4 linked regions of the Saccharomyces cerevisiae S288C genome follow. The gene in region 3 interacts genetically with the main gene of each other region. Each region holds a gene or a part of one and is shown on either strand. Other genes may lie near its edges. The genes, in order: ECM33, YJR142W, YLL054C and YPR096C.

Region 1 (8,891 bases), on a different chromosome or scaffold from region 3:
ATGATTTCATAACTGCCAGAAGAATCCGTTGGGCTACACCTTCAACTGTTGAGCCAGTCGTGTTTAAATTCTTGGAAATTGGTGTTGAACTAAAGAAAGGTAAGCTGCTAAAAGACGGTTTGCACCAGTACAAAAAATTAATTCAAGGATCTACCGAAGGTTTGGTTTCTGTCGGTGCCGTTGCACGTAAATTCATTGATTTAGTCGAATCTAAAATCGCTTCTGAACAAACTAGAGCTGACGAACTTCAAAAGCAAGAAATCGATGATGATTTGGAAGGTGGTGTTACCCCAGAAAATTTGCTGATTTCTGTTTACGAGTCAGATCAATCTGTGGCTGGTTTCAATGATGAAGCCATTACTTCATGGTTAAGATTTACTTGGGAATCATATCGTGCAGTCTTAGATTTATTGAGAAACAACGCTTTGTTGGAAATTACTTATTCTGGTGTCGTTAAAAAAACTATGCATTTCTGTTTGAAGTATCAGCGTAAAAACGAATTCAAGAGATTAGCTGAAATGTTACGTCAACATTTAGATGCTGCTAACTACCAACAAAGTAAATCAGGAAACAATTTAGTTGACTTGAGCGATGCTGATACCTTGCAACGTTATTTAGATCAACGTTTCCAACAAGTCGATGTTTCTGTCAAGTTGGAATTGTGGCACGAGGCTTATAGATCCATTGAGGATGTTTTCCACTTAATGAAAATATCCAAACGTGCTCCTAAACCATCTACTTTGGCTAATTACTACGAGAATCTCGTAAAGGTCTTCTTTGTTTCCGGTGATCCATTGTTGCACACTACTGCCTGGAAGAAGTTTTATAAGTTATATTCTACCAATCCAAGAGCCACGGAAGAAGAATTCAAAACATATTCTTCTACAATTTTCCTATCCGCTATTTCTACCCAACTAGACGAAATTCCATCTATTGGCTACGATCCTCATTTACGTATGTACCGTTTATTAAACTTGGACGCCAAGCCAACTAGAAAGGAAATGTTGCAATCCATTATTGAAGACGAATCCATTTATGGTAAAGTTGACGAGGAATTGAAAGAATTGTACGATATCATTGAAGTTAACTTTGATGTCGACACAGTGAAACAACAGCTGGAAAATTTATTAGTCAAATTGTCTTCTAAAACCTACTTCAGCCAATACATCGCACCTTTAAGAGACGTCATTATGAGAAGGGTTTTTGTTGCTGCCTCTCAAAAATTCACTACTGTCTCCCAGTCCGAATTATACAAGCTCGCTACCCTACCTGCTCCGTTAGACTTATCTGCTTGGGACATCGAAAAATCGCTGTTACAAGCTGCTGTGGAAGATTATGTTTCAATTACCATCGATCATGAATCTGCTAAGGTTACATTCGCTAAAGATCCATTTGACATTTTCGCATCAACTGCTTCTAAAGAAGTCTCTGAAGAAGAAAACACAGAGCCAGAAGTCCAAGAAGAAAAGGAGGAAACTGACGAAGCTCTTGGGCCACAAGAAACTGAAGACGGTGAAGAAAAGGAAGAAGAATCTGATCCTGTTATTATCCGCAATTCTTACATCCACAACAAGTTGCTTGAATTATCCAATGTCCTACACGATGTTGACAGTTTCAACAATGCTTCATACATGGAAAAGGTTAGAATTGCCCGTGAAACTTTAATTAAGAAGAACAAGGATGACCTTGAAAAGATTTCCAAGATTGTTGACGAACGTGTCAAGAGATCTCAAGAGCAAAAGCAAAAACATATGGAACATGCTGCCCTACATGCTGAACAGGATGCTGAGGTCAGACAACAGCGTATTTTGGAAGAAAAAGCTGCTATTGAAGCTAAATTGGAAGAAGAGGCTCACCGTCGCTTAATTGAAAAGAAGAAACGTGAATTTGAAGCTATCAAAGAAAGAGAAATCACAAAGATGATTACTGAGGTGAATGCTAAGGGACATGTTTACATTGACCCTAACGAAGCTAAAAGCTTAGATCTTGACACCATTAAACAGGTTATTATAGCTGAGGTATCAAAGAACAAGAGTGAATTGGAAAGTCGTATGGAATATGCTATGAAGAAGTTAGATCATACGGAAAGAGCTTTGAGAAAGGTCGAATTGCCATTGCTGCAAAAAGAAGTTGACAAGCTACAAGAAACAGACACAGCAAATTATGAAGCTATGAAGAAAAAAATTGTCGACGCCGCCAAGGCCGAATACGAAGCCAGAATGGCTGATCGTAAGAACTTGGTCATGGTCTATGATGATTATTTGAAGTTCAAGGAGCATGTTTCGGGCACTAAGGAAAGCGAATTAGCTGCCATCCGCAACCAAAAGAAGGCTGAATTGGAAGCTGCCAAAAAGGCCAGAATTGAAGAAGTTCGTAAGCGTCGTTACGAGGAAGCCATTGCAAGGCGTAAGGAAGAAATTGCAAATGCTGAAAGACAGAAGCGTGCTCAAGAACTCGCTGAGGCTACCCGTAAACAAAGAGAAATCGAAGAAGCTGCTGCCAAGAAATCAACTCCATACTCTTTCCGCGCAGGAAACAGGGAACCTCCAAGTACACCAAGCACTCTACCAAAGGCGACCGTTTCTCCAGATAAAGCTAAATTGGATATGATCGCTCAAAAACAAAGAGAAATGGAAGAAGCCATCGAACAGAGACTAGCCGGTAGAACAGCTGGTGGGTCCTCCCCAGCTACTCCAGCTACTCCAGCAACCCCAGCAACCCCAACTCCATCTTCTGGTCCAAAGAAAATGACTATGGCTGAAAAGTTGAGAGCCAAGAGATTGGCCAAGGGGGGCAGGTAACAGACAACGCAAAATGATCTACTTAATTTATACCGTTTTTTATACGTATAAGAGTATGTGTACATAATAACAATTTATTAGACTATTTCTTTCTGATTGCTTTTTCATGTCAAAGGAAGGAGCAGAAGAGCAGTAAAGATGGCAGTTATTTTAAAAACGAATTTCGAGAAATAGTTGGTATAAATAACTATAAATAACGTTTTACTGTTTTAAAAAAGCGATCCGTTAAAAGGCCCTAACGATTCTTTAGAAACTTGAAACGTTAGCGGAAGAGCACTTTGTTTTAAACCGTAGTAAGAATTTTTTTATATTTTATTTCATTTACTTATTTTTTTTTTTTCTTTACTCCTTTTTTTTATGTTACTTAGACAAATTTCATTATATTAGGTAAAGCTAAAGGATGGTAAAAAGTCTGAGTGGTTCTTTTAATTAAGGTAGCAAAAGTTGATGAAACTGGAACTTCAAAACAGTAATAATATAGTAACAATAAGAAATAAAAGAGATATTAACGACACTAAAATTTTATCTACATATAAAATTCAGTGATGAACCAACCGTCTCATAATAAAAAAGGAATGGTAAAGAAATCATTAGAGAAGAAATTAAAGTAATAATAGAAACACAAATTGTTGCTTTAATCTTATAGTAAGGCAACGCCAACAGCAGCAACGACACCCATGAATGAAGTGGCTGGAACAAGTTCTGGAGCAGCACCCTTAGACTTCTTAGAAGAAGAGGAAGAAGAGCTAGCGGAAGCTGAAACGTTAGCTTGAGCATTGGAGGCATCACCACTAGAAGAAGCGGAAGATGTAGCAGAGCTCTTGGATGATTCAGTAGAAGTAGAGGATAGCTTAACGGAGGTAGATGTGGCACCGTTCTTGCAAACAAAAGAGTCACCTTGAATAGCACCGTTACTTTGCAACTTCTTCAAAGCGTTACAGGAGAAGTTACTGGAAGAAGAGTCGAAGTTAGCACCACCTCTAACAGACTTCAAAGAAGATAAGTCCAAGGTTGAGAAGTTACCAGTAACTTCAATGGCACCACCAACAGTTTGAACCTTGTTAAAACCGTCAATGACCTTCAATTGTGTGTTGTTAGCAATGATGAAACCACCACCAACAGTAGTCAAGTTACTGAAAGCGGCCTTGGATAATTCATCGTTGGAGACGATAGACAAAGATTGACCAACCTTGCTCAATTGGGTCAAGTTCAAACTTGGCAAAGTGTTGTTAATGAAACCTAAGGAAGCGTTAACAGTTTGCAAACTACCGAAAGAAATAGAGTTAACATCTCTCAAAGTGATGTTGTTAGCCCAGACCAAATTGTCGAAGGCCAAAGTAGTGTTGTCACCGTTGGAAGAGAATTGTAAAGAGTCAGAGACACTTTCCAAGGAAGATTGGAAAGAGTTTAGATATCTGTTGTTGTTGATGTTAAAAACATTAACCTTCTTCAAAGTGGAGAAACCTTCGACACTTTCCAAAGTGGTGTCAGAAACAATAATGTTGTTAGCATTTTGTAAATCGGTGGAGAAGGTAGAAATGGCAGGCAAAGTCACCATGTTAATGGAGTCTACTTCTTGCAAAGAACCGAAAGAAGCACTGGTCAAAATGATCAATTCTTGCATGTTCAAATCACCGGTGATTTTCTTGATAGAGTCAGCGGAGAAAGAAGATAAAGAACTGGAGTTGAAGATAGTCAAGGAACCATCAATCTCTTGGATACTAGCCAAAGCAGCGGAACCCAAGTCACCGGTGATGGTCAAGTTACCAACAATGGTACTACAACCGGAGATTTTGTCCAAATCAGCTTGAGCAGTAGCAGTGGCAGAAGTACCAATACTACATGAAGATGGAATAGAAGTAGTTGAGTTAGCTGCTTAGATAAAGAAAAGTAGTGTTAGTATTCCCGATCGATTTATACATGTATTATTCTGTTTCATTACTCGCCCTAATCCTATGACAGGCAGAAATATTGAAGAATATTCCAAAACCATCCTCACGAGATCTCGAAACCCGTTTCCTCTTTTGGAAATTTTTTTTTTTCGCATTGTCCGTCCGCGTCAATCGAGACCTATGAAAAAAAGCCCAGTAATCGACAAAGAAAAAAGAAAAGAATGAAGAGGACCACGAATCTACTCGAGATTTGTGAGGAAAGAGGCAAATAAAGAAAAAAAGATGAAAAAAAAGGAGAATGTGTACATACCAGCTAGAGCGGAGGCACTTAGAATAGCAGTAGCAGTCAAAGCGTTCTTGAATTGCATTGCGGAATAATAGTAAAATTAAAACTAGATCTTTAAAAGTCAAATAAACGTATTCTTGATAGCTCAAAGGGACTTGTTGAAAGAAAAATGGAAAAGATTAAACTGTGTAGAAGCGAATGAACGATTAACTCTTTTATTTAATTTCTTTTCTAAAAGTGGCCGAAGTACTCAAAGATGATGTTCTAAAAAGAAGAGAAAGGGTGAAAAGCCAAGAAAGATAAAGAAGGAAAGAAAATGCAGAGGAAAGATCTTCACATATTAAATACAAAAATGCAAGAGAGGTCCGTTGATTGCGAAAAGTCGTAGGTGTTTGACATTGAATATTTATACCGGCTCAAGCACGCTACCGAAAATTTTTCAGTTCGATCTGAGGTTTGTACTTTTGATTTCGATCCCAGGAGGGATGGTTGTTTACTGCACGTTGCCTTTGTTTGTTGTGGTAACGCGGTTTCAGTCCTGTCTCTAGTGCCTGGCCACTGAGAATGAGCGCGTGGGCCAGAAACGGTGGCGCGTCTTTCCCGTTTTTGCACTCCATTTCATTTCTTTTTCGCGAGGGCGCAGCAGCCACCCGGGTCGTGAAGGATGATACTGCCCGCCATCCTTTTTTTTTTGCGGTTTACGGTAATTCGCAGATTTTACGTTGATAATGATATGAATGGTGCCCTCTGGGTAACAGGTGAATATGGAGAGAGAGACGAAGAAAAAGAAAAACAATTGCTTCATTTGGCATATAAGCTAAAAAGACTCTAATGAATTAATTAAGGGAAGATAAGAAGAAAAAAAAAAGGCAGTTATCAGCAGCAAACGGTATCCAAAATATTGAAGCAATATGGTGATGCTCCATTCTAAAAACGTTAAAGGGTTTCTGGAAAACACTTTGAAACCGTATGATTTGCATTCGGTAGACTTCAAGACATCGTCTTTGCAATCGTCTATGATTATAACCGCCACTAATGGGGGTATACTGTCCTATGCGACGTCAAACAACGATGTACCGAAAAATTCCATAAACGAAATAAACTCGGTCAATAACTTGAAAATGATGAGCTTATTGATTAAGGATAAGTGGTCAGAGGATGAAAACGATACTGAGGAACAGCACTCCAATAGCTGTTACCCTGTGGAAATCGACTCCTTTAAGACAAAAATATATACTTACGAAATGGAAGATTTACATACCTGTGTCGCACAGATACCCAATAGCGACCTTTTGCTATTGTTCATTGCGGAAGGTAGCTTCCCTTACGGACTACTGGTAATTAAAATTGAAAGAGCTATGAGAGAGTTGACTGATTTGTTTGGCTACAAGCTAGGTTGATGGGTTTAACAATATGTATCGAGGCCACACCTTTTCATGCGTCTCCGGATGGGGGCTGGAAAAAACAATGCGAACAGTCTATAAATAAACACATTTTCGCAGGGACAGAGTTTACGCAGACACGCCATTTACATAAGCTTGATTACGCGGATTGCCGTGGTGCACTTTCGTGCACTCGCACATATATATGCACGTACATAAGGGCCTCATCTTCCTCTCCTTTTTTTCCCCCATCTACCTATCGCTGTTATTGAACGGAAGCATCTTCTTTTTTTATTATGCTCAGAGGGCCCTACATGACAGCTTTTTTTTCCCCAATGAGCTGCTACGGTGCCAGATCTGCTTATGTTCATTATTTTGGATGGTAACCGTTATAAATTTAAAGCGTTTCTTCGCTAGGATGGTGAATATTAGTATTTATCAGCCGTCTCGTAATCGTTTAGTTCGTTACTAGCGGCAAATTTTGTTTGATTTGTTATATGATCATTTATTTTTAATATCTTGCGTACACAATCAATTGCTTTTTGTTATAACTTGGACATATAAACATTTCGTTCGGAACGTGGCTAAGTCGCATTGGATGTAGTGTGTAAAATAATTCTCGTATATACCTTCAATGTCTTCTCTATTGCGTGTTTGAATATACGACATCCCATTATAATCAGCATTGAGGTTTCTTAGAGACTCGAAATCCTGAAAGGAATCCCTAATGATTTCATCGTATTCACACCAACCCAAACGGATCCAATTTTCGCAGTGGGGGCATTTCACATGGATTCTCCTAAATCCCCCGTTCAACGTTTGAGTGTAGTAGGCCAAAGGAGAGGGAATGATGGATACAGTAAGAGAGTTCAAAATTTTTTTGCTAAACTCTGGCTCTTTTAATACTTGAATTTTGAAATTAAGTTTTCCCTGGATTTTTAACAGCTTAGACTCGAAATGGTATAAAGTGTGAGGCTTAAATTCAGACAAAATGCCGTGCGCAAAGAATAAATGTTTTAGGTAGTTTTCAGCTAGAATCCAATTATTCCCCTGGCAAAATCTGCACATCAATTCCTTTTTCTTTTCAGAGTATCGCATGTATTTATACATTATCAGAGAATCCAGACTGTTGGGGTTTGACTCTTCGGTATTGGATCTACTAGTATTGTATAGTGCCTGTACACATGCTGAGGGGGGACAATTTTGATTTCTTTTTATTTTATAACCAAATTCGGAGTATCTGTCTTTCATCCAGCCTCGGATACTGTGATGTTGGAAACACCTTGGAAGAAAAATCAGTTGCTTAGAAATACTTTTAAACACATGCTTACAATCAGTGTTGGCTTTACCAAAGTCAAAATTTTCGCTATCGTTGAATATTTTCCTTTGTGGGAATATTTTGTTCTTGATGGTTTTTCTTTTGAGTGATCCACTATTATTGGATACATTCGTGGTGTCCGTTAAAACCCTCGAAAGAGTGGATGTTGAAGAGTCAGGTCTTTTAGACTGTGTAAATTCAGCATTACTGTCTATCCAAAAATCCACACCATTTGTTTCTTCAATACGTTGTGCGGGAAAAAAGTAGCCATAGTCCATCTTAAGGCTTTTAAATAGCTAATATTAAATACTGTTAGGATAGCAAGAGTGGGTGATTTATTCGTTAGAAATATACGAGTCAATAAAGTCTAGTACCGAATTAATGTATTAGCGAACAAATTCTTGTGGTTTTTTATGAAATCATCACTACTTCAATGTGTTAAGGTGTATTTTCGAAACATTTTTCGGCGCTGCCAGTAAGACGTACGACCCTTTTTTTAGTGTCAGTAACTATAAAATTATGACGTCCGAGAATAGCGTAGAAATTAAAAAGGGTAACAATGATATCTAGCAGCTTTCAAAAAAGGGAAGGGCGGCACAGAACCTTACATTGGACAATGCTTTGCCTTCACTTATACGATATTTTGCATTTTTTTGCTATCAAGATTTGGTTAATACTGTATCGTGTAAATTGAGATCCCACCTCCAAAACTTGCTTTTGGACAAAGCGATATATTAAAATAACTTAAATATCCGCTTAACCAAGCTCTTGATCCAAACGATATCCGGCTATAGTCAATCACAATCCCTGAAGAACCATTTCCAAGACCATTATCTTTATACTTAATAAATATATAGATTTACAGGTTATTTGTATATCGCTAGCATTATTGCGTGCTATTTTCTAATAGTTACTGGAGGGTTATATAATTTAGGACTTTATAAAAACGAGCATTGTATGCACTTGCAGCAGTGTAGAACTTATCTGACGAAACATGTTTCTTACTTTGTTAACTGATATCATTAGTGATTTTCAATACCGTCTGAATATCCACTATAGCTGTCTTTAGCGCTACGAAGAGAGCACCGTAGAATGGTTCCAGACGGATTCTTGGCCAGTAAAGTACATTCATAAGTTAAACTCAATAGTTTTTCCTTTTGTTACGAAAAATTTCTCAAAATATTTTTTATTATTTTGTTCTTCTTGTGGGAA
Region 2 (3,637 bases), on a different chromosome or scaffold from region 3:
TTCATTGGTAACATCATTGGGTGGTGGTTCCAAGTCATATCATTGGCTGTTTTTGTTGGCATTATCGTGGCCGATTTAATTACTAGACATCGTGGCTATTATGCCCTAAACAAGATGACCAGAGAAAAGCTGTATGGCCCATTGATGTTTTTCTTCGTCTCCTGGTGCTGTCATTATTTTCCATTCTTTTTAATGGCGCGTCAAAAGTTTTTGCATCATTACTTACCAGCTCATTTAATCGCGTGCTTATTCTCAGGAGCACTATGGGAAGTAATTTTCAGTGATTGCAAATCATTGGATTTGGAGAAAGACGAGGATATTTCAGGTGCATCATATGAACGGAACCCTAAGGTCTACGTTAAACCCTATACCGTCTTCTTGGTGTGTGTCTCCTGTGCTGTTGCGTGGTTTTTTGTATACTTTTCACCACTAGTGTATGGAGATGTCAGCTTGTCACCATCGGAAGTTGTTTCTAGAGAGTGGTTTGACATAGAATTAAATTTCTCCAAGTAACTTTTTCTGTTCACTAACCACAAACGAACTGAACGCCTTCCTCCGTTTAGTGACAAAATAGAGTACTTTTGATCTTAGATAGTATGTACCTAGATGTGTATATATGAAAAAAATTCTTTATATTTGTTTAGATATCAACCGGTAACCTCTTGAATGTTAATTCAAGGTGGGGAATGGTAACCTTCTGTGCATTCTAGTTACTAGTTCAAGATAATTGGGCTCATTTTCTGGAGTGATGTAGCCATGTCTAATCAAGAAATCTACCATTACCAATGCACAATTTGGTTTGAACTCTTTTTTTCTTAAAGCATTAATCGTCTCTTGCAGGCTGAATAAATTGAAACTCTCGACTTCACCATCGTTTGGTTTTGGAATGATGTCTTCGCTGAGTTTTAGATCGTATACATATTGTACTTCCCCTACGATAAAATCTGATTCCTTATTGAACTTCGTTACAGAAATATCACCCGTAAAGTAAAGGTAGGAAACTGAACCAGTTGCTTTAATGTTATCCTCAATAACACTCTTTTCTAGATTGGCTTCCTCCATGCTTTCTTTCAAAACTGTTTCATAGATACCATAAGGATAACCTAATCCCCCGGCGATAATGTTGTCAAGCATTAGCGGCCATGTTTGTTTCGTTTTAGATCTTCTTGGAACCCAAAACTGAACTTTTTTTGACTTTGGATCTAGCACATAACCATTAATATGAATCCCGTAGGTAATTATACCAAGAACACCTGCTACTGCACGCTCAACCAGTACATAGGGTTTTTTATTAACCCAAACGGCATATTTCTCGTTTCTCCAGCCCTTCACACCACTCAAGGATGATTCTAAATACATTTTACGAGCCAATTGGTCAATTAGATTGTTTCTATGATCAAAATCTTCACTTTTAAACCTTAACTCATGTCTAGATTCATCTAATTGGAAGGTTTCTTCGAAGATTTCCGAGCAAACAGTCTCCATTTCATTTATCGCAAATTTCAACACGAAACCGATCTTTGTGCCATCGTGTGTACACATATAGTAAATGCCCTCTTTGAAATTTTTGTAATTCTCGAAGTCTAATGGTAAAGGGTCTACGCGGTCCATAATCTCCAGGAAAGAGAACCCCTCTAGATCATCCTCCTGTGTCCTCACTAAAACTTCCAAGCCTTTAGATGATTTCTCGACCTTCATTGTATTAAAAGCGTTTGTTTCACTTTCGTTCCCAAGAAAGCCCCTATATTTAGTAATATAACAAACGCTATTGTTGTGCAATTCTTCGGCCAACGAAGTTAATTCTACAACTGTATGTTAAAAAAAAAAAGAAGCTATTTATTACTTGATGACAATATTTGTACAAATTTGAAAGAGAATGGTTCTTAAAATTAGATTAGTGATGTATAGCTAATGGTCCATTCACCAATTTTTTTCATGCTTGAGGGTAAAAGTGCATTAGTATGTTGAAGGGCGCTGTAAAAAGCATTAAACGATGTTTCTTGGAAATCTAATTCCTCGACGACTTGTCGATTGAGACATCGATTTATTGTGGTAACGCTGTTTGTGTAAAGCAACTTCATCGCTCTCTTGAAGCTTTTGTTTCCCGTCAATGTGACTCCAATGTCAACGGAAAATATCCAAACTAGCAATGATTCCGTTTTACATTTTACTAGTACGTAACGACAAGAGTTTGCCTTAACTACGTTTATTAAAGAAATTGTAATGTCACATTCTGGAGGAAATTTGTATGTGTTTCCACTGCGTATTAACTGCAGTTTCCATTTGTGTAGTTTATAAAGCGAACCAGCAGTTACTTGGCCTAACACTGCTGAGCACTTTATGCATAAAACATTATCATTTTCCTTTGTAGTCGCTACATTTTCAAAAGTCGCAGGAGTGCCTTGAAAATAAGAGCTTCCAATTAAAATTTCGTTTTTAGATGGTTTTAGCGTTTCAAATCTTGTGTAGGAAGACTTGTCTTCCTTAACATCGGGTTTGTGGCAATGCCAATAATCCATTAACTCGAACCAAAACTCTGAAGGCATATCATTCAAAACTTGACAGTTATCTTTGCTTATAATTTTTTGCTTACAGTTAAGACATTCTATCGAGAAATCAGAATCTGAGCGAAGCTCTTCTTTAGTCCATCTTCCATCTGGAAGCGACATGATAGAACTGTCATATATCTTAGAGGATTTGCTTCTTAACTTCGTCATCCATTCTAAGTCTTTACCTCTGTTTTTGAACTTGTAAGAAGCGTCTACTTTTTCTTCAACTTCTACTGGAAGTAAAATATCTTCAACTTGTTCTTCATCACCAGATATGCTCATGAGTGTGTCCTTCAAGTTCTTTATCTCCACCTGCTTCCAACCTTCTACTACCACTGAAATGCTCTGTATCCTTGGTAACCATTCTACCACATATTGAACCATCACCCTTGCATTTGTTTCTCTCTTTGTTTTCTTGACTTTCCTTTTCTTTACTTCGATTTAACAGCTTGTTACTATGTGCCATCGCGAAATTATTTATTGAATTGTTTACGTTGGGAAGAGCAGAAATACAAATAGACGGTAGCAAGGCAGGTCCGTAAAGGCACTTTAAGGAGTTAGAACCTCAACACAGATTCTAGATAAAGCTTATTATGTCTATGTTCAATGCCCTCAATTCAAACATCGAAGGTGAACAATATGAAGCAGAGGAGCATTCAAGAGAGCTTCAAATAGAACAGAGTTTTAATATTTTGCAGGACGCTCTGATTGATCTAAAAAACAAGGACTTCGAAAAGTCGGACAGCAAATTCCAAGAGCTCTTCCAGATTGATGTCGTCAAGCCTGATAGGTGGGGCATGTATCGCAATTCTTCTCCTACGCTAGATAACCTGCGATATCTATGTTATAGGAACAGAGGGATGTACTATCATCTGTATTTGGAGAATAACTATGAAAGGTTGAACTCACAAGAACTAGTTAATTGTATTTTAAAAGCAGTTGAGAACTTGGTTGAGTCTATTCAACATAGCGATGCTGATTTTGCAGTTACAGATTTGCTGGCTCGCATCTTCAAGAGCTTTAATAGTGTCAAGTTGGAACGTTTAATATCAGAATATGAATTCACTAAGCAGGAAAATCTTTCACTT
Region 3 (9,814 bases):
TTTTATGAAAGATTTCTTCAGAAAAAATGACATGCTGATTTTGTCTACTTGCGTGTGCTTTCAGTTCTTTACCAGTACGATTTGGTCACGTGACACGCGATCAACTACATTCAATCCATCTGCCCCTTGCTGGTTCCGAGTATCAATTCTAAATTGTGGCTACCACTATAGCAATAGTACGCCAAGCTCGGATGCAAATCACGGATATCTTCTTAGCATCCGAGTTCAACATCCGAGTTCAGCATCCGAGCTTTGCGGCGAAAACTTAACAAGATAACGGATAATCAAAGTTCTCTGTGATGTTACGGAGTCTTTGGTCTGCGCTGCTGACTAAAATAGTGTGACACAACGTACATAGCGCCACCCATATTGGCCGATAAGGACCAGACTTGTGGCGATGACTGTTAACTCTCCGCGAATCTTTTTCGAAGTCGCAGGTGGCATTGCAGAAACAAAAATGTGTGGCTTCTGAAAAAAAAAATAGGCACCCCATTTGATGTAAGACATCTGGCTACCCCTTGTACATTTCAGTCACTGAGCATCGAAGGCACGTCTTTGCAGCATGCAATAGTGTTCGAAGTTCTTCCATTTACGGTGGCTCCCCTCACTGGAACGGTGATGTAATATGTAGATAGCTAAAACATTTCGCAGGTCCCTAGGAACTGGACGTCAAGATGAATAGGTATTGTTAAAAATGCGTACCTGTTGAATTGAAGAGGTCGGAAAAATCAAAGTACTTAAACAGACGATTGATTCGACATTTAGCTATTCAGGTTGCACTTCTTGAAGGTTGAACAAAACATCAAGAGAAAATAAAAAAGAAAATATAACAAAAAAGAAATGTCAAAAGTTGACGTAAAAATTGGAGCAGACTCGATCTCCTCTTCTGATGAAATCCTAGTTCCTTCGAGACTCGCTGATGTTACGCTAGCATTCATGGAGGAGAATGACGCAGCAGTTCCAGAAATCACGCCTGAACAAGAAAAAAAATTAAAGAGAAAGCTTTTTCTCACAATATTCACCTTTGTCTCTGCCATTAACCTTTTACTTTACATGGACAAAGCCACTTTATCCTATGATTCGATTCTAGGCTTCTTTGAAGATACAGGTCTTACCCAAAATACTTACAATACTGTAAATACGCTGTTTTACGTTGGTTTTGCAATCGGCCAATTTCCTGGACAATACTTGGCTCAAAAGTTACCACTTGGGAAATTCTTGGGTGGGTTGTTGGCCACATGGACTATACTTATTTTCCTAAGTTGTACCGCATACAACTTTTCCGGTGTCGTTGCGTTGAGATTTTTCTTGGGGCTAACAGAGAGTGTTGTTATCCCGATATTAATTACCACTATGGGTATGTTCTTCGATGCTTCAGAAAGAGCTGCTGCTCAGCCATTTTTCTTTGCAGCATGTATGGGGTCTCCAATTCCAACTGGGTTTATTGCTTATGGTGTTCTTCATATAACAAATCCCAGCATTTCGTTATGGAAAATATTCACTATCATCATTGGTGGTTTGACTTTTATCATGACGGTTGTTGTAATTCTGTGGTTTCCTAATAATCCTGCTGATGTGAAATTCTTTTCAATACAAGAAAGGGTATGGATTATCAGGAGAGTTCAGGCATCCACAGGCTCTTCCATTGAACAAAAAGTCTTCAAAAAGAGTCAATTCAGAGAGGCAATGAAAGATTATATAACCTGGTTATTTGGATTGTTTTTTCTTCTTCAACAGTTAGCCAACAATCTGCCCTATCAACAGAACCTGCTATTTGAAGGAATGGGTGGAGTTGATGCTCTAGGTTCGACATTGGTATCAGTTGCCGGTGCTGGTTTCGCCGTCGTTTGTGCCTTCATCGCTACGTTGATGTTAGCAAAATGGAAAAATATTTCAGCTTTAACAGCCATCTTTTGGACTTTACCAGCATTGGTGGGATCCATCGCTGCAGCTGCTTTACCATGGGACAATAAGATTGGTATCTTAGCAAATATCTGTATGGCAGGACAAATATTTGGTATTCCTTTTATTATAGCTCTTAGCTGGGCAAGTTCAAGTGCATCTGGGTACACCAAAAAACTCACAAGAAGTTCGGTGTCCTTATTTGCGATGGGAATTGCTAATATCATATCACCACAAATATGGAGAGAGAAGGACTCTCCTCGCTTTTTACCTGCCTGGATTGTTCAAATCGTTTTATCATTCTCTCTTGCACCAGCCATTTTGTTACTGATCCATTTCATACTAAAAAGAAGGAATAATCAAAGACTAAAAAATTATGACGAAAATTTACAAAATTATTTGGACAGAATTCAACTCATTGAAAGCGAAAATCCTTCTTCCATTGAAGAAGGGAAAGTGGTAACCCACGAGAACAATTTGGCAGTCTTTGATTTGACTGATTTAGAAAACGAAACTTTTATATATCCTTTGTAAATATTGATGTTTTGTTGTGTAAATGTTCTATCTGACACTTAATAATTAGAAAATTAATTTTTTAAACTTTCCGGCTGCAAGAAAGAGGAACTGTGTCTCTTTGAAAGGCACAATTTCCCAAAGAATCATTTACAATGGTAAATAGCTTACTGCTTAGAAAATAATAGATAATTGAATAAATTTATAGAGGAATTTCTTGACAATTTCTTCAAAACAGCCGGTAAAAGTCCATTAAAGATTAGTTTTTCTTAAATAAATCACCTAAACTTTCAAATTTAGCATAAAAAACATGTAGATATTTGTTCTCTGTACTTTATAATCTAACATTTTATAAGACAGAGACTAGTAACCCCTCTAGCCTGTGGTTAAAATACGCAAAACCTTTGAACCCTCAATATTTTTGCCATAATAATGACAACTATATTGTACCCATTTGTTCTTGAGTTGTCCGTATGGATGGAAAGCAGCACTCGAGTTTGCTGAAATTACATACCTCGGTATGCAATATGCCCAGAAAATTTGTAAATGATAATTTACATAACAATTCAAAACATATTGATGTTTTTCGTGGGTAACCATAGTTCTTGGAATGTCAACTGAGGGTATTTGCACTTCAAAAAAAAAAATTTATTAAATGAGACTATATACAGTGAGCACAACCTGTCTAATACAACGGCAAAAATTATATACATTGGTAGATTTTCAAAATTGAACTCTTTGTGCTAAAGAATTGTCACAACAGTTTAAAAAATAGTTTGAATTCTTCAAATTGACCCCATATTAATAAGACCTGATGCGATTCCGGTCTCACCCAGATTAGAGAGGGAATTTAATTTTCTTAGGACCGTAGCTACCAAAAATCTTTGTGTGGTATTGATTATATGATCGTGCTTGCGAAAAAAATAGAAGACTAAAAGTAGCATTAGTTTACTAACTTTCTCCTCGTATCTTTCAAATTTGTATTCCCCTCAAAAGTTACTCAGGTTAGGGAAAATTCCAAGTAGCTTATCAAGATCAATTGCCATTAGTTGATTCAAGGCTTCATTGTCATAATTCATGAGGTCAATTTCACTCTGTAAAGATTCGTCAACATCTTCAGTGAAGTTTCTGGAAAATTCTTGTGCGGAAATGAGTTTTTCTAATTCTTCCAAAATCTCCAAATCAAGACTTCCCAAGAATTGTGGATTGTTTAATTTTGATGTGAACGAAAAGGACTTATCCCTTCCCATACCCCATTTTAAACCGACAATCCTATGGATTCTTGAATATCTTTCATCCATAACGGCGTCACTCTTCCAGTAGTCGGATATAAACGCAGACAGCGCGTCAGTATCCACCAAATAAATGATATACCTGAAAATAGAGACAGAAATGAACGAACCGAGATAACTCTTTTCCAGTTTCGAGATAACAATTTCTACAAGTAATTTCATATGATATGACATCAACTTGATCATTTTTTCAATGACTCGACTAAGTCTTCCGTTTCTATCATTCAACATTCCCATGGCTGCAGAGGATCTGTCGCATGTATCCTTCTTATAAAATAATCTCACGAGCAAGGTGGCCTGGAATATGAGTAATCGATGTATCGAAAAGCGAACAACTTTCTGAGTGGCAAACCCAAAAGGTTCCCGTAAATGCAGAAGAGATCCATTAAAGTATTCCGAGATTAATTTTAGCAACGTTAAATAATCTTGTATAGCGGTAAAAGTAAAGCGGTGATAATATGTTTTGTACTCCAAAGCGTTTTTGAAACATTGATTTTCAAAATGCAAAGATAAGCTATCATAGATGTTCATTGTACAAGTGTAGCTAATCACATTAGCTATGAATGTTTCATTTTCCTCAAAAGTGCTAAAGTCAAAAGATTCTTCATTTGCTAAGGAAGAGGGAACATTGATATGTAAGCTCTTCATCCTTGGTTCTCCAAGAGAACTTAAAATGAGAGGGAATTTCTGATTTAAAAAATCTTTTGTCTTGTCGATGTTATCCAATACTTCCTTCAAGTAGGAAGGGCCATTTATTGGAAAACAAGAAGTCAGTAATACCTGTAAAGATAAATGTAAATGATAGATATTCTCTGCTGTAGCCATCAACGATAAGTCTAGATTATTAGTAGAAGCGTAATTTCTCTCAAATAGTTCTGGTAGAGATTCGTCAGTTTTCATAAAGGATCTTAAATATTCCAAACTTAGAATGTCAGAATCTCCTTCTGGAATCAATATTCCAAACTTCAAAAATTGCACGCCAAGCCATAATTTCCTTCTTAAATTGAATAATCTTGGATAATCGTCCGATTCGCTGACGTATCGAGTGTATTGGAAGGGTTCTTCATTCAGTCCTAGCTTTATTGCTACATTCTCCAAAAATTTTAGGTTTAGTATGTCACTGTGAGTAGGATACATGTCAGCTTGATCTGGATTCAAATACCGCAATATGAAAAAATAGAGCAGACAACAAAGTGTATGTTCATTAACATATTGAAAAACGTTCATGAGAGCAAGAAGTTTATGAGCGAGTAGCGTTAAATTATTCGATTTTACACCAAAAGATTCTTTAAATGAATGACTAGTACTTAGACTCAAACGTCTGTAAGAAAAAGCCAATATGATAGTTAGCAGTGTTATTGTCTCCAGTTTTCTTCTAGAGTCTTTGCCCGCAAATACAATGTTATACCCATTAAATTCATTCAATTGCAACAGCTCCCTTATGTTATCTTCGAATAATGATATTTCCAGTAACGGATAGACCGGATATATTGTTTTGTAAAAGTCCACGATTAAGCCATCAACCTCATTCTTATTGAGGAAATATTTGGATAACTCTTCCAAAAGGATGTTTATGGAAATTTTATCATTATTTTCTTCAGGATGCGCTTGTTCATAATCATACGTGTTATACAGAAAATCTATTGGAGGATACAATTTGCTTGTTTTTGAGGTATTTTCAATAAATTTAAGTGCAGCTTTATCAATAAAAAACAAAGGTCCAATATCACCGATTGTTAAGTTAAGTTCTCTTTTTTTATTGTTGGCAGAAACGTTTTCACGATGGCGTTCGACATCAATCAGTATCCTCTCATGTATGCAGGTGGTCAAGGCCTTCGCATACAAATCATGTTGAAGAATGCTATGGAAGGCAAAAGGACTATCAACGATGGTTGTGTTATTCATTACAACAAGCTTGTCGTGTGCATTCGATAAATTCATGGCAAAATTTTTCATTTCCCAGTCTTTAGTACTTGGATTAAGTATGGAAGTAAAGGAACCACTTGCGGACATCGATGCAGGAGTAATGTTTCTAATGTCTCTATGTGGGGCATTTTCGATAGTGGGAGATTTGTTAATCCGTCCTGGTTCCACTTCGTAGCTACAAATCGAGGATGAGGCCTTGCATTTGGAGCAAGTAGGCCAAAGTTTATCACATTTGATTTTCCTTTGCTTACACCGCAAGCAAACAAACGATGGCTTAACCTTTTTCTGAGATGCAATGCTCATATCCAGTGCAGTACACTTATCTTGTCATAGATTTCTGATGGGTAAATAATTACTTCACATCATCTTTGTTTCCAAAGTTTGGCCTCAATGTTGCCTTTAGGAGGAAAAAATGTGAAGAATGCATACTTCTGCCGCTTACGTAAAAACAGAACTCTGACCAGAAGAGATAAAAACAAAAAAAAAATAAAGGACAGTAAATATGAAAAATAAGATATTATTATATTAAATTAAATTAAATTAAATTAAACTACGATGGGAGCGTTATGCCAAAAAAGATAAAATTCTGAGCAGACTACTCTCAGTCTTCCTTCTTTTGACCTGCCGCCTTTTCGGCATTAACGTATGTAGTGTAATCAAGGATTTGTAATAATTGCCACACTGACCAGGCTAAGAAGGCACCCAAAAGTGGGCTAATCCAGTAGATCCAGTGGTAATGAGGGAAATATCTGGCAGCAACGGCGGCACCCAGAGATCTTGCAGGGTTGACACCGGTACCAGTGTAACCGGTCAAAGCCATGTGAGCCATGAATAAAGAAATACCAATTGGAAGCGCAGCCATAAAGTTAGTTTCACGTTTTTCAACAGCAGTCATCAAAACTGTTAAACACAACACAGCAGTACCAAACATTTCCAAAAACAACCCCCTAGATCTGGAACAGCCTAAACCCAAAGCATTAGTAAAGAGAACCTTGCCTGGAGTCATAGCACTAGCGGCACCACCAGCAGCCATCCCAGCAATGATCTGAGGAAACCACATCACTACACATCTGGCTGGTGAGATGGCTCTGGCCAAACACAAAGAGAGAGAAACGGCTGGGTTCAAAGCCCCACCAGAAACACCAGATAGAAAACATCACAGAGAAACCGAAACCAAGGGCAATCATGATCAATTGACCTGGATGAGAGCCCTCAGGCTCGGTTGTCAAAGCCACATCATGGTTAGCGACATTACAAATGACGTAAGCACACCATAAAAACATGAAGGTACCGCAAAACTCACCCACAGCAGCGATAAAGTGGTTTCTTAAGGTATCTCTGTCAATATTAAAACGCGAATGCTTCGTTTCCGGCTGTTCAGGTGGAATATAAGCATTGTCAACACCGGTCGGGTCCAAGTGCGAAATGTTTTTTTCAAGGTCGTTAGATTCGTTAGACATAGTATAACTAAGGTAGGCTAGTGTCGCTTTTGAATATTTTCAGGAATTGTAATAGCCAGGAACAAGAAAAAAGACATGCGCACACTAATAAGCTACTAAAACCAACATATTTATACTATCAACCGAGAGAGGGGCAGATATGATTCACGATAAAAAGTTAATAAAAGGATAACAGCGGCGCTCTAATTCGTTAATGAAAGCCATAGTCCGGTATGGACAAAAACTATTTCCTTCTTTTTTTTTTTTAGGTTTTTTTTTAATTTGCACTTGCAATAATCTAATTCACTGTAGGAGTTTAAAGAAAAACATCTAGAAGGATTGGAGGAGGTAAGTCATTATTATGGCGGTGCTCTTTTAGCGGGAAAAAAAAAAATACACCTACGACGTTAAAACAGATCGTGCTGTCGTCTCAGCGGCAGTAAAAGTACTGTAGTAGTTACGGTGCACGCAGATGCAATGCTAATTAAATAATCATGCTCCCATTTTTAAGAAGCAGAAAAAGGCCGCAGTAATTTGAGCCGTGAAAAGATTTCGGAGGGTTGATTCTTAACATTTTCCAAAAAAATGTCCTTTGGTCTGTTTGCTTGGGTCTGAAAAGAAGGACTGCAGCGCCACCTCCACTGGTTAAGGACAAAATCCATACTTATTCCATCTTTCTCGGGACATATTTTCCTGAGACAAAAGACCGTAGAACTTCAAAGACTCGTTCCCAGAAAGGGATTTAGAGTTAATTTTTGCTCGGCATCAAGCCGGAAAAATTCAGGCGCCGCTTAGTAATTAATTGCAAGTAAAGAAGTACCGGATTTATTAGACATCGTCTTAGCAAGCAAATTCCTGAAAGCTAAAACGCAAATAATTAACTAAAAATAGTTGCTAAAGAGCACCTTTTATGCGGTACATAAAAGTTTTTAGTGCCGTAGATATATGTAGATATAGGTGGGCGTAGGATCAGAAGGAGCCGGAGAGAAGATTTACCAACACTGATATTCCTCGAAATACTCTATAATTCTCTCTGGGTAACCGAGGAGTTTTTGAGAAACGGTGTTTCTAACATCGTCCACCAGAACAGGAGGGCCGCAGCACACGACCGCTAATGAATCTCCAGGCGGCGTACTTTTTATTGCGTTTTCAATTACATTGCTAAAATTAGGTCTTGCATTGCCGATGTGGGCGAAGCTTGTCAGTTCGGTCATTATATCATCAAAATGTATTAATTGGTCTCGTGCGTTTGCTGCCTTTGTAACAGCTGTTTTCTGTGTAAGGTAAACCTGCACGTTGACGTGGGATCGGCTATTTTTTAGCTCTAGTATCTCGGATTTATAGCCGTTAAGAAAAGAAGGATTTTTGATCGCCATGATCAAATCTATACTCTTGGGTTTATCAGGGTTTCGTGACAGCTTAATGGCATGATCTAATGGACCAGGCAAGCCTGTTCCTCCACTTAGTAACAGCAAATGGTCGAATTTATCGAGGTGAAGATTACTGGGCCCATAAGGTCCCTCAATGGCCACTCGGAGTTGTAATTTACCATTTAAAGATTGCAAAATATGGTTATAAATGAATCTAGTGAGACCACTTTTAGGTTTGATCACTAAAACACACTTCTCACCTTCGTCGATAATGGTAAATGGATGGCATTGCCAAAATACCAATGGATGTAAAAAATAAATGAAACAATATTGACCCGGTTTCGAATGCCATCTCCGGTTATATTTGGGTATGATTACTTTAAACATTTCATCGTGCGGGTTGTTGCTGGTGTTCAAATTGATTAGTGTTGCTTTCGGAAATCTAAACTGCAAAATGTTCCATATTCTGAAAAGCTTTTCCAGCCCCCAAATGAGCAAGGATACCACTATCCATTCTTTCCAACCGTTGAAAATTTTGACGTGTTGCCAACAACAGTAAAAGAACAAAAGGGCTAGTATGATGTGGGTGTACAGGAAAAATTCGTAATGTCTTTTCCTTACTATTCCGAGCGATAGAACTAGTAGAACGCAAAGCACTGTTATGGATGCAATACCAAACTTCCAATAGAGCTGTTTGTTGCTTATTTTGAAGGCATGGTTGATAATTGCGAATAATGAATAAGAAAGCGAATGTATCGTTGCGTTTAAGACCATGATTCTACCGATCCATTTATGGAAACTAATAAAGGAATTGAACTTGACTCCTGTTAAAAATTCGAGAAAACTATTCCTTGCCGTAAAAATGATAATGAGAGGGAACTGAGTAAACGCCAGTATCCCAGATCTATCAGCCAACAGTCTTGTAAACTGCGACAGGTGACTGTTGAAAATGAGGTTATATGGGTCTATGATGTAACTTATGGACAAAAATATGATGTTCGCCAATGTGTATCCAAAAATGATCCATGCCTCCAAGGAATTCGGCATCAGTCCCGTAAAGACTTCCACGTTTAGAAACTTGAAGTGATTAGCGTGCTTATCTACTAAAAACGTAGGCAACACAAAATGGCCCCGAATATAATTGACGAACCGGCTTGCAAATAGCGCTCGATTCAGGCCGTTATAGTGACTCATATGGAAGAAGACGGCGATAATACCCACTATGACGAAGTAGTAAGTTAAATATGCACCATAAACACTGCTGATATCTAAATTATAGGCATGCGCATGAAAAGCTCGTATCCATCTAGATCTTGTCTCACGATCGACTCGAATGGATGTCGATAAACTTTCAATAGAACCATAGTCTTCC
Region 4 (7,670 bases), on a different chromosome or scaffold from region 3:
TTTCGTATTTATGTTCTTCATTTCTCAACAAATTTGCCTTCAGAGCATTCTTATTCCAATATTTTGAGACTTCTGGAAATAGATTTACTTCATTTAATGTATCATTTATAATGTGCGAATAAACGTTAATGTCATCTTGAACTAACGTAGCATTTCCGCTAGAACTAGAGCTTGGATTATATGAAAAATAAGACGATATTGAGTTAGAAGCCGGTCTATTGCTATTACTGTTAGCCGTTCCGAGGTTGGCCCCGTTTATAGTACCCGACGTACTTGGTGGGCAAGAAGCCGCCGTAGATGGGGCAATACCAGATGCACTAATTGAATTCGTTAGCGGATAAAAGATTGGGGAAAGGGAAGCTTCCTTGGGTATTATACTCCCCCTTTTTATCATGTCTATGGGAGAATACATCGAATTCGAAGATAATGTGATAGCAAAATTTGTGTCAAATGCATCTTTATCAAGGATGCTATCGTCCAACGCCATTGGTGACATCAAAAAGTAATTAAATTTCGGCGACTCTTTGGCTGTCACATTCTCATAAAAATATGTCAAAACGGCCATAGGGATCTCATTACCTCCTGAGTATTTGTCATTATGGACTAAATCCACGAAATCATGCTTTGTCATTTTGCTTTTATTGTTGGGGTTAAAGTAATCAGTGTGCAACATTAGTAAGGAAAATGCAATAAAATACACCTGGTCTGCATTAGACCAGGGGCACTCAATTCCTTTTTTCTTAGAATAGCTCTTTTGGGCCTTATAGTATGCAAAGCTAAAAGCCATTATCAATCTATCAATTTGCTGCGTCTCCTTTGGAAGCTCTAAAAACATCAACAATTTCCTCAGGGCAATATCTAAAGGGTCATTTTTAAATTCGAAGCAATTCGTTAATAGGTAGTTTAAACAATTTTTTTTGAACTCATCATCTTTTTCCGTTAAAATGATCCCAATGAACTTTCCGTAGGGCGCTAATTTAATCAAGAAGTCCTTACAAGAATCACTAAATTCAGGCGCGGGAACCGGTGGTAGATCTTCCAGCGAGACATCCAGTTTTTGTTGTAGCTGCTGTTGTTGTTGAAGGTGCTGTTGCCTAGAGGATGATAAACTGGAGGAGCGAAGGTTAACAAAACTACTTAAAGCATTCACAATTGAGCTACTTCTTCTTGACATTCCAGTAATAGTTGAATTGGCATTGCTTTTATTGTTGTAAACTGAAGTAGGGCCTGATCCATGAGGTAGGCCCAATTTGTTATGGTAGCCTTCATCTTCAATTGATTTTCTCTTGCCGCCCTTGCCTTGAACAAAAGACGTACTTTGAGATCGAGACCTTGATAAAACCTGATGGTCTGGGTGACTTGCTTCCGCTCCATCTGTATCATTGCTTATAATATTGGCATCATCGGGCAAAAGAGGTCCGCGGGATCCCATGGGGTCTTGCATAAGAGAATTTGTATTTTTCTCGTCAATAGTCCTAATAAAAGAAGATGGAGAGAGTGGCGGTTTGTTCTTTGCTGTATTGTTTTTGTTAATATAGTCAAATACGTCAACAGTTCTACTGCGCCTTCTTCCGAACCTCCTTTTGGAGATCTCATCTTGTTGTTTTGCCAATTCAATTTGAGGAGTTGCATCAAGTGGTATTGCGTGCAGCGAATTGAATTTTATTGACGACGACGATGATGATGATGATGCAACAACAGCTCTTTTGGACGGATTGAAATATCTTGAAGCCGCTGTAGAGGAACCGACGGAAGAAGATGTCGATATCCTACTCACAGTAGGAAGAGTAGGAACTAATCTATCACCGTTAAACAGGGTAGGCTCTTGTGATTTTCTGTAATCTCTTGACAATCTATTAGAAGAAGGAAATTTTTCTAGAGCAGGTTTCACAGGAATGAATGGGGCGTGTTTTGAATTTCTCTTTACGTTATCAGACCCGGAGCTAGTAAGCGTGACTCTCTCACCATCGGGCTTGGGAACTTTCTCTATCGAATCTATGTTGTTTTCTGATTTGAAAGGCATTTCTTCAGGATCTTGTCCATTACGGAGGTGTTGTGCAACCAAGATTTCATCATCTTCAGAACCCTTTTCATTGGCTGACCTGAAATTCAAGTCTAACCTACCCATCTTACGCCGTATCCTGCTTAGTTTGCTGTGTTTTTTTGTGGGCTCGCATTCTTTTACATCAAGTTTATCGTCGTCATTATTAGTGTGTTCCTGTATTTCTGCGAGTTGAAGAAAAGGACTTCTATAACTTTCCGACTCTCTTAATTTATCTATGCCTGTTGAAACATTGCTTCCGCCCTTTTTGTTGCCATTTTTATCGTTACTGTGTGATTGAAGGAATTTAAGCTTAATCAACGAAGAAATAGACTGATTCATTATCTGGCAAGTGTGGATTGAAGAGCTGGTCTGGCGGGAAGTTAGCGAAAATGAAGTTACAATGAGTTGAAACAGAGTAAATAATAGGGAGTGGATGCGAGTAACCTTGCGATGTCAAAAGAATTCAAAGTACTATATCTACTGCCTTTCTTTCCACTTGGTGCCTTTTACCCTGAAAGTCTAATGAGCAGGTAGTATAAGAGAAGCAGCTTCTGAAGAAGAGTTCTTTGTACAATAAACCGGCCTTGTGGTGCGAGAGAGGCTTGTAATATAGATTATACTGAAGCCTGTTGAACTTAGCGTCTATTTTCTTTTCGTTCCCTATATCACTTTTCCTAATATTTTCAACATCTCCTTTACGCCAAAAACAAGAAAAAGGACGAGATGGCCTTGGGTTTTTAATGCTTACGCCTGTTTCGCCTCTCATAAGACAGATAAATGTACGTTAACCATTTGACAGTTAACTTTTTAGGCGTGAACAAGGAACGTATTAAAGTGTTTTTCGAATAATTGATCACTTTCTAGCTTTCATTCTTTTTTAAGAGCTACATCCAATTACTGTGCATTGGGCTCTATAAAAAAAGAAAAACGAACCTTACCTTGTGGTCGGAATTGTGTACTGAAATCAGTGGTTGAAGATAATTGTACTAAAGAATCAAAAATAGACAGTCTTCAAATGATTACTCAAGACACTCCTGCTTTAAATCCAACGGAAGAACACTACCTGAAGAGGGAACTGCTTCGATGTCAATTGGATTATGAAATTGGAAAGCTTAACGATCAGTTTGCTTTGAGAAAGTTCGGTTATCCTTTCTCACCAAACGATCCGACAGCTCCACAGCCTATCTCCAATAACGATTCATCACCAGTGCTCGGTGGCAAAGGCCATTTTAGCGTTAATTATCCCATGCTGAGTTATGTTTTGCAAGAATTTATATCCACATTTCCTTTACTTTCAACAAATTTGCTAGTTGATGAAAAATTCTGGCAGAGTAAGGTTCAAGTGTTCTTTGAACATTTCATGAGTCTTGGGTTTAGTGAAAGTTATGACAGGGAGGAAGCTTCAAAAAGGAAGAAAGTTTCCAAAAAGCTATCAAAGGTTATCTTGTTGCTCTTTAACTCCGGTGTTGGCTCTTTTCAAGAGCAAGCGTATTATAATGAGGATAAATTCGTTTTACAGTCAGGCCAAGCGAGAAAACGCTCTAATATTGAGAAATTTGCAATGCCAACTAGAGAAAATTTAGAGAATTTGCTCACTAACGAATCCGTTTTTATTAACGGTTGGGACGTCAATATTATATCCGTGTTCAATAAGAATTCACGGAAATGTACTGAAAGTGTGGATAATGACAAGTCTAGTAAATCTACTCCAACTTCGAGTCCCAAAAGCCATGCTATAAAATCATTTGCTTCCACTTCTAAATGGATGAAGAATGCCTTCAACAACACTATTAACAGTACCATAAATAGTATGCCCGAATCCTCAGCATCTTTATTTTCGAAATTATCCCTTGGCGTGCCTTCAACTAAGAGCAAGCAATCTAGAAAACATCATTATTTCTTGATTAAGATTAAGAAGCAAGATGACGACGACCAAGATAACAGCAATGAAGAGAATAGTAATCTTGATCACCATGCTGGTTATTTCTATGTGACAAGAACATACAGCGACTTCAAAAAACTATCTCATGATTTAAAATCAGAATTTCCGGGGAAGAAATGTCCGCGCTTACCTCATAGAAATAAAAAAGTGACGTCTATGATAACTAAAACCGAAGTGTTACACAATGGGCAAACTAAATCAGCAGCCAGGGAAAAAATCGTCAACACTTTTGACACTGATTTACAATCTGCATCAGAGTCTGATAATTCTTCATTTTTACAGACAACGAATGAATTATCTGCTACAGAAACAGTACTCACAGAAAAAGAAACTGAAACGTTGAGAAAAAATATTCTAAATGAGATCAAGGAAGAAGATAATATTGATGAGGACGAGTATGAGGAAGAAGGTGAAGGTGAAGAAAGTGATTTTGATGAATATAAAGATGCATCCGATTCAAAAATCAATACTTTGGTGGGTGAAAAAATGAGAACTTCATTAAGACAATATTTAAGGACTTTGTGTAAAGATGCAGAGGTTTCTCAAAGCTCATCTATTCGTCGCTTCTTCCTAAGTGGGCCTAATTTAGATATTAAGGACATAAATCCGAAAATAGCAGATGACATTAGAAACAGGGCTCTGATAGATGTAAGTAATTTGGAGAACCAAATACGTTTCCAACAGATGGCGTTAGAAAAGTCTTTAAAGCTGCAAGACTCAATGAAAGATTTCAAAACATCCCTGTTAAAAGATGAAAAATACTTGATGAGTCTACTAGTAGAAATCAAGGACAATACGAAAGTTGAAGACCTGTCACCACTTTTACAAGACTTTGTGGAATGGTGTAAGATTTATATTTCCTCAATGATTTATCAAATGTTTCTGGGTAACGATAACAGTTATGAACTCTATACACAAATAAGACGGTTACATAAGCTTATGCCGTACACAGTAATGGGACAGATCATGAAATTTACTAATCCAATAGCGATCATGAGGGGTATGATTGAATTATTTATGGCACAACCCTTCGGTGGTCATTCGCTCCTTCAAACAATGTTTTCTACGATATTAACAGATGATTTGAAAACTCAAAAGGTAGCTATAAAGGAATTAGAAAGGAAAATTGCTGAGATGGACCCGGGCGCTTCAGTTGTGACTAAATGCTTGAAGGATTTTGTCTTTAATAATGATACTAAGGATGAGCATGATACTAAACTCTTTACTATGGACGCAGTAAATGCAGAATCCGAATCCATGAACATGCCTGTACCATTGATAGTATTAATGAAAAGTGCAGCTGCAAATCTAATTCCAGACGAGGTTGTCGCGGGACTTATTGAATCCTATTCATCATGGAAACTGCAAAAAGAAGACACGGATGCCTTGAATGTAACCAGCGAAGATCAGTCAGGTATTTATTTCACACACGTCAAAGATTTATGGCAATTGTATATTAAAGAACATGATAAACAGCTAATGAGGCAGCTATGGCAAGATCCTGAGTTAACCCAAATGCTAAAGGCAATTGTCACTATGATTTACGAACCTATGGTCAAGATCTTCAAAGTTGCAAGGATGGATGTTGCTTTGAAAAATTTTGAGAAGTTCATGAGTGATTTGATCAGGCTTGTTGATGATGTTATCAATGGTCAGTTGGGCGTTTCCACACAGTTCGATGTCGTGGAAGAAATCCATAACTTAGTAACCAAACATCAAGATGCCTTTTTTGAGTTTATTCATGATGTATATTTGAACGATTCAGAGGGCATTTTTGAAGGTTTTATTACTTGGATTACTACGATAGTGAAATTTTTGCAAAAGAGTAAATTCGGAGGACCGAGTGAAAGGATCGACTTCAATAAGTTAATTTGTAGAGATGATATCGATATTGATGTCAAACTTTTGAAAGTTCAAGTTAATAATGTTCTTAATAAAAAGATTGGTGCGAGAAAAATCTATAAGAAGTTGTTAGATTTGAAGGTTAAACAAGGTACTAAACAAAATAACAAACACGCTGCTGGCATACTTCAAAAGAATTGGAGTGACATAAACTCCTTGGTTATGCCATCCAGCTCTGGATCTTTTGGACTTGGAGATGGTGATTTGGTGGATTTGGATCTCGATACAGGTGATTACGATTTTTTACATAAAGAGAATGAAGTTGAATTAGAAAAGCAATACAAAGATTTATTGAATCTTGTTGTTGATGAAAGTGAAATTGATAAATTGAGATCTCAAGTTTTCGCACAGGAATTAAAAAATTATTTAGAAGCTCAAATTGCTAAAAAGTAGGCCCTTTCTAGTATCTCCTTTATTCGTTTTTATTCGTTACGATTTTCCGGCTTAATAATATAGGATTGCTAGGTCTATATATAAGAAAAGCTTGTAGAAATAAAAAAATAGAAAAAACTTCAAGATAAATATTGTTCTCTTTTATTTTAAGATCCTACAAACAGCACAATTCCCCTTTTAGTTATTTTTAGCCAAGATCAGGATAGCAGAGAACTGAGTCCCTTATTCTTTAATTGAGGGTCAAAAAATTCCGATTGCGAACTTCATCTCCACCTTGGCAAAGGAATGACGAAAAAATGATCTTGCATATATATATTTACTTGTAAAATAATTATTTTGGAATTTTTCTTAACAAACCACCTGACAAACAAACACCGTACGCAAGCATCCCGCAAACATTAGAAAGATTGAACAAAAGACTCAATCCGTGCGACTTGCCAAATTCTTTACGTAATATAGCATCCTTTGCTTCCAATTCACTACCCGTGTATTTCTTCGCAATATTCTTTCTTTGTTCTTTAACTTTATGGGTCCAGGGCAACAACCAAAACAAATTGGTTAGCCCACTGACAGATGCAACCACCAAAGAAGATAATGGTCCTGTTGTCAAGGCAATTGGAGCGGTAAGGGCCAGGATGACAGGTGATGCCGCTTGCATTTGGAAAAAATACGGGAAGATCTTATTTTGCAAAGCAGAAAATTGGTCTTTTTCAAGAACTTTGAATGCGATTGGAGAAGCTACATAGGAATAAAACGTCGTTCCTCCAAATCTGAAAGATTAAGTTGGTACATAAAAGTTGTTAGTCAGTTATTCTCAATTAATCATAATTGTTCAAATTTTTTCTTGTGTCTTAATCTGTACATACACAAAGGAATAAAAAAGCAAATGAGCCGTAGTTTTGACTAAACACATTTTTCGTTGTTAAGTTTACTGGACTGTAAAGCGTAGTTTGATCTGCCTATATCATCAAACAACTCCATTTAACTCCCTTAAATAATACTATTCTTTTCTGTAAGTTTATCGCACTATACGTTACGGTGCTTTCCGTCTTTTTCGGATGAGGGATGCTCATAAGAATTACAACAAATCATAAGCCCTGAGATAAAAAAGATCAATCAATACGATTATCATAAACCATGACTAAGTAGATACACAGACACGAATATATGGAGAAATGGTTGTGAAAGCTATTGCACGAAATTCCATAGGTCGTAATGGAGTTGGAGCATTCGTGTTTCCATGCAGAAAGATTACTTTGCAATTCTGTAACTGGGGAGGGTCTTCGGAAGGCATGAGGAAATTTTTGACTTCAAAGAGATTAGATAAATGGGGCCAGGAGTTCCCATGGATACAGTTTGAAGTGATGAGGAAGTCTGGACATCCTTTGT

The links.
Region 1: mutations in YLL054C (region 3) and ECM33 together harm fitness more than expected from each alone (negative genetic interaction), as found in Saccharomyces cerevisiae (2 studies listed by BioGRID).
Region 2: mutations in YLL054C (region 3) and YJR142W together harm fitness more than expected from each alone (negative genetic interaction), as found in Saccharomyces cerevisiae (2 studies listed by BioGRID).
Region 4: mutations in YLL054C (region 3) and YPR096C together harm fitness more than expected from each alone (negative genetic interaction), as found in Saccharomyces cerevisiae (2 studies listed by BioGRID).

Annotation. Positions count from the first base shown.
Region 1 is NC_001134.8:389,293-398,183, reverse strand, and holds ECM33 (Ecm33p), read right to left. Parts: upstream 5,062-8,891; coding exon 5,004-5,061; intron 4,674-5,003; coding exon 3,442-4,673; downstream 1-3,441. Other genes in the region: RPG1 (translation initiation factor eIF3 core subunit a), read left to right, coding at 1-2,801; SLM4 (Slm4p), read left to right, coding at 5,891-6,379; ECM8 (Ecm8p), read right to left, coding at 6,893-7,957. UniProt on the Saccharomyces cerevisiae protein: Required for proper cell wall integrity and for the correct assembly of the mannoprotein outer layer of the cell wall. Important for apical bud growth.
Region 2 is NC_001142.9:695,202-698,838, reverse strand, and holds YJR142W (uncharacterized protein), read right to left. Parts: upstream 1,699-3,637; coding exon 670-1,698; downstream 1-669. Other genes in the region: PMT4 (dolichyl-phosphate-mannose-protein mannosyltransferase), read left to right, coding at 1-513; IPA1 (putative polyadenylation protein), read right to left, coding at 1,890-2,933; HIR3 (Hir3p), read left to right, coding at 3,143-3,637.
Region 3 is NC_001144.5:29,269-39,082, forward strand, and holds YLL054C (uncharacterized protein), read right to left. Parts: upstream 5,937-9,814; coding exon 3,405-5,936; downstream 1-3,404. Other genes in the region: YCT1 (Yct1p), read left to right, coding at 841-2,436; YLL053C (uncharacterized protein), read right to left, coding at 6,235-6,693; AQY2 (Aqy2p), read right to left, coding at 6,644-7,093; FRE6 (putative ferric-chelate reductase), read right to left, coding at 8,065-9,814. UniProt on the Saccharomyces cerevisiae protein: Required for growth on non-fermentable carbon sources.
Region 4 is NC_001148.4:722,335-730,004, forward strand, and holds YPR096C (uncharacterized protein), read right to left. Parts: upstream 2,811-7,670; coding exon 2,508-2,810; downstream 1-2,507. Other genes in the region: Arf family guanine nucleotide exchange factor SYT1, read right to left, coding at 1-2,383; LEC1 (Lec1p), read left to right, coding at 3,060-6,281; TMH18 (Tmh18p), read right to left, coding at 6,613-7,051, 7,148-7,194; YPR099C (uncharacterized protein), read right to left, coding at 7,423-7,670; mitochondrial 54S ribosomal protein mL43 MRPL51, read left to right, coding at 7,457-7,670.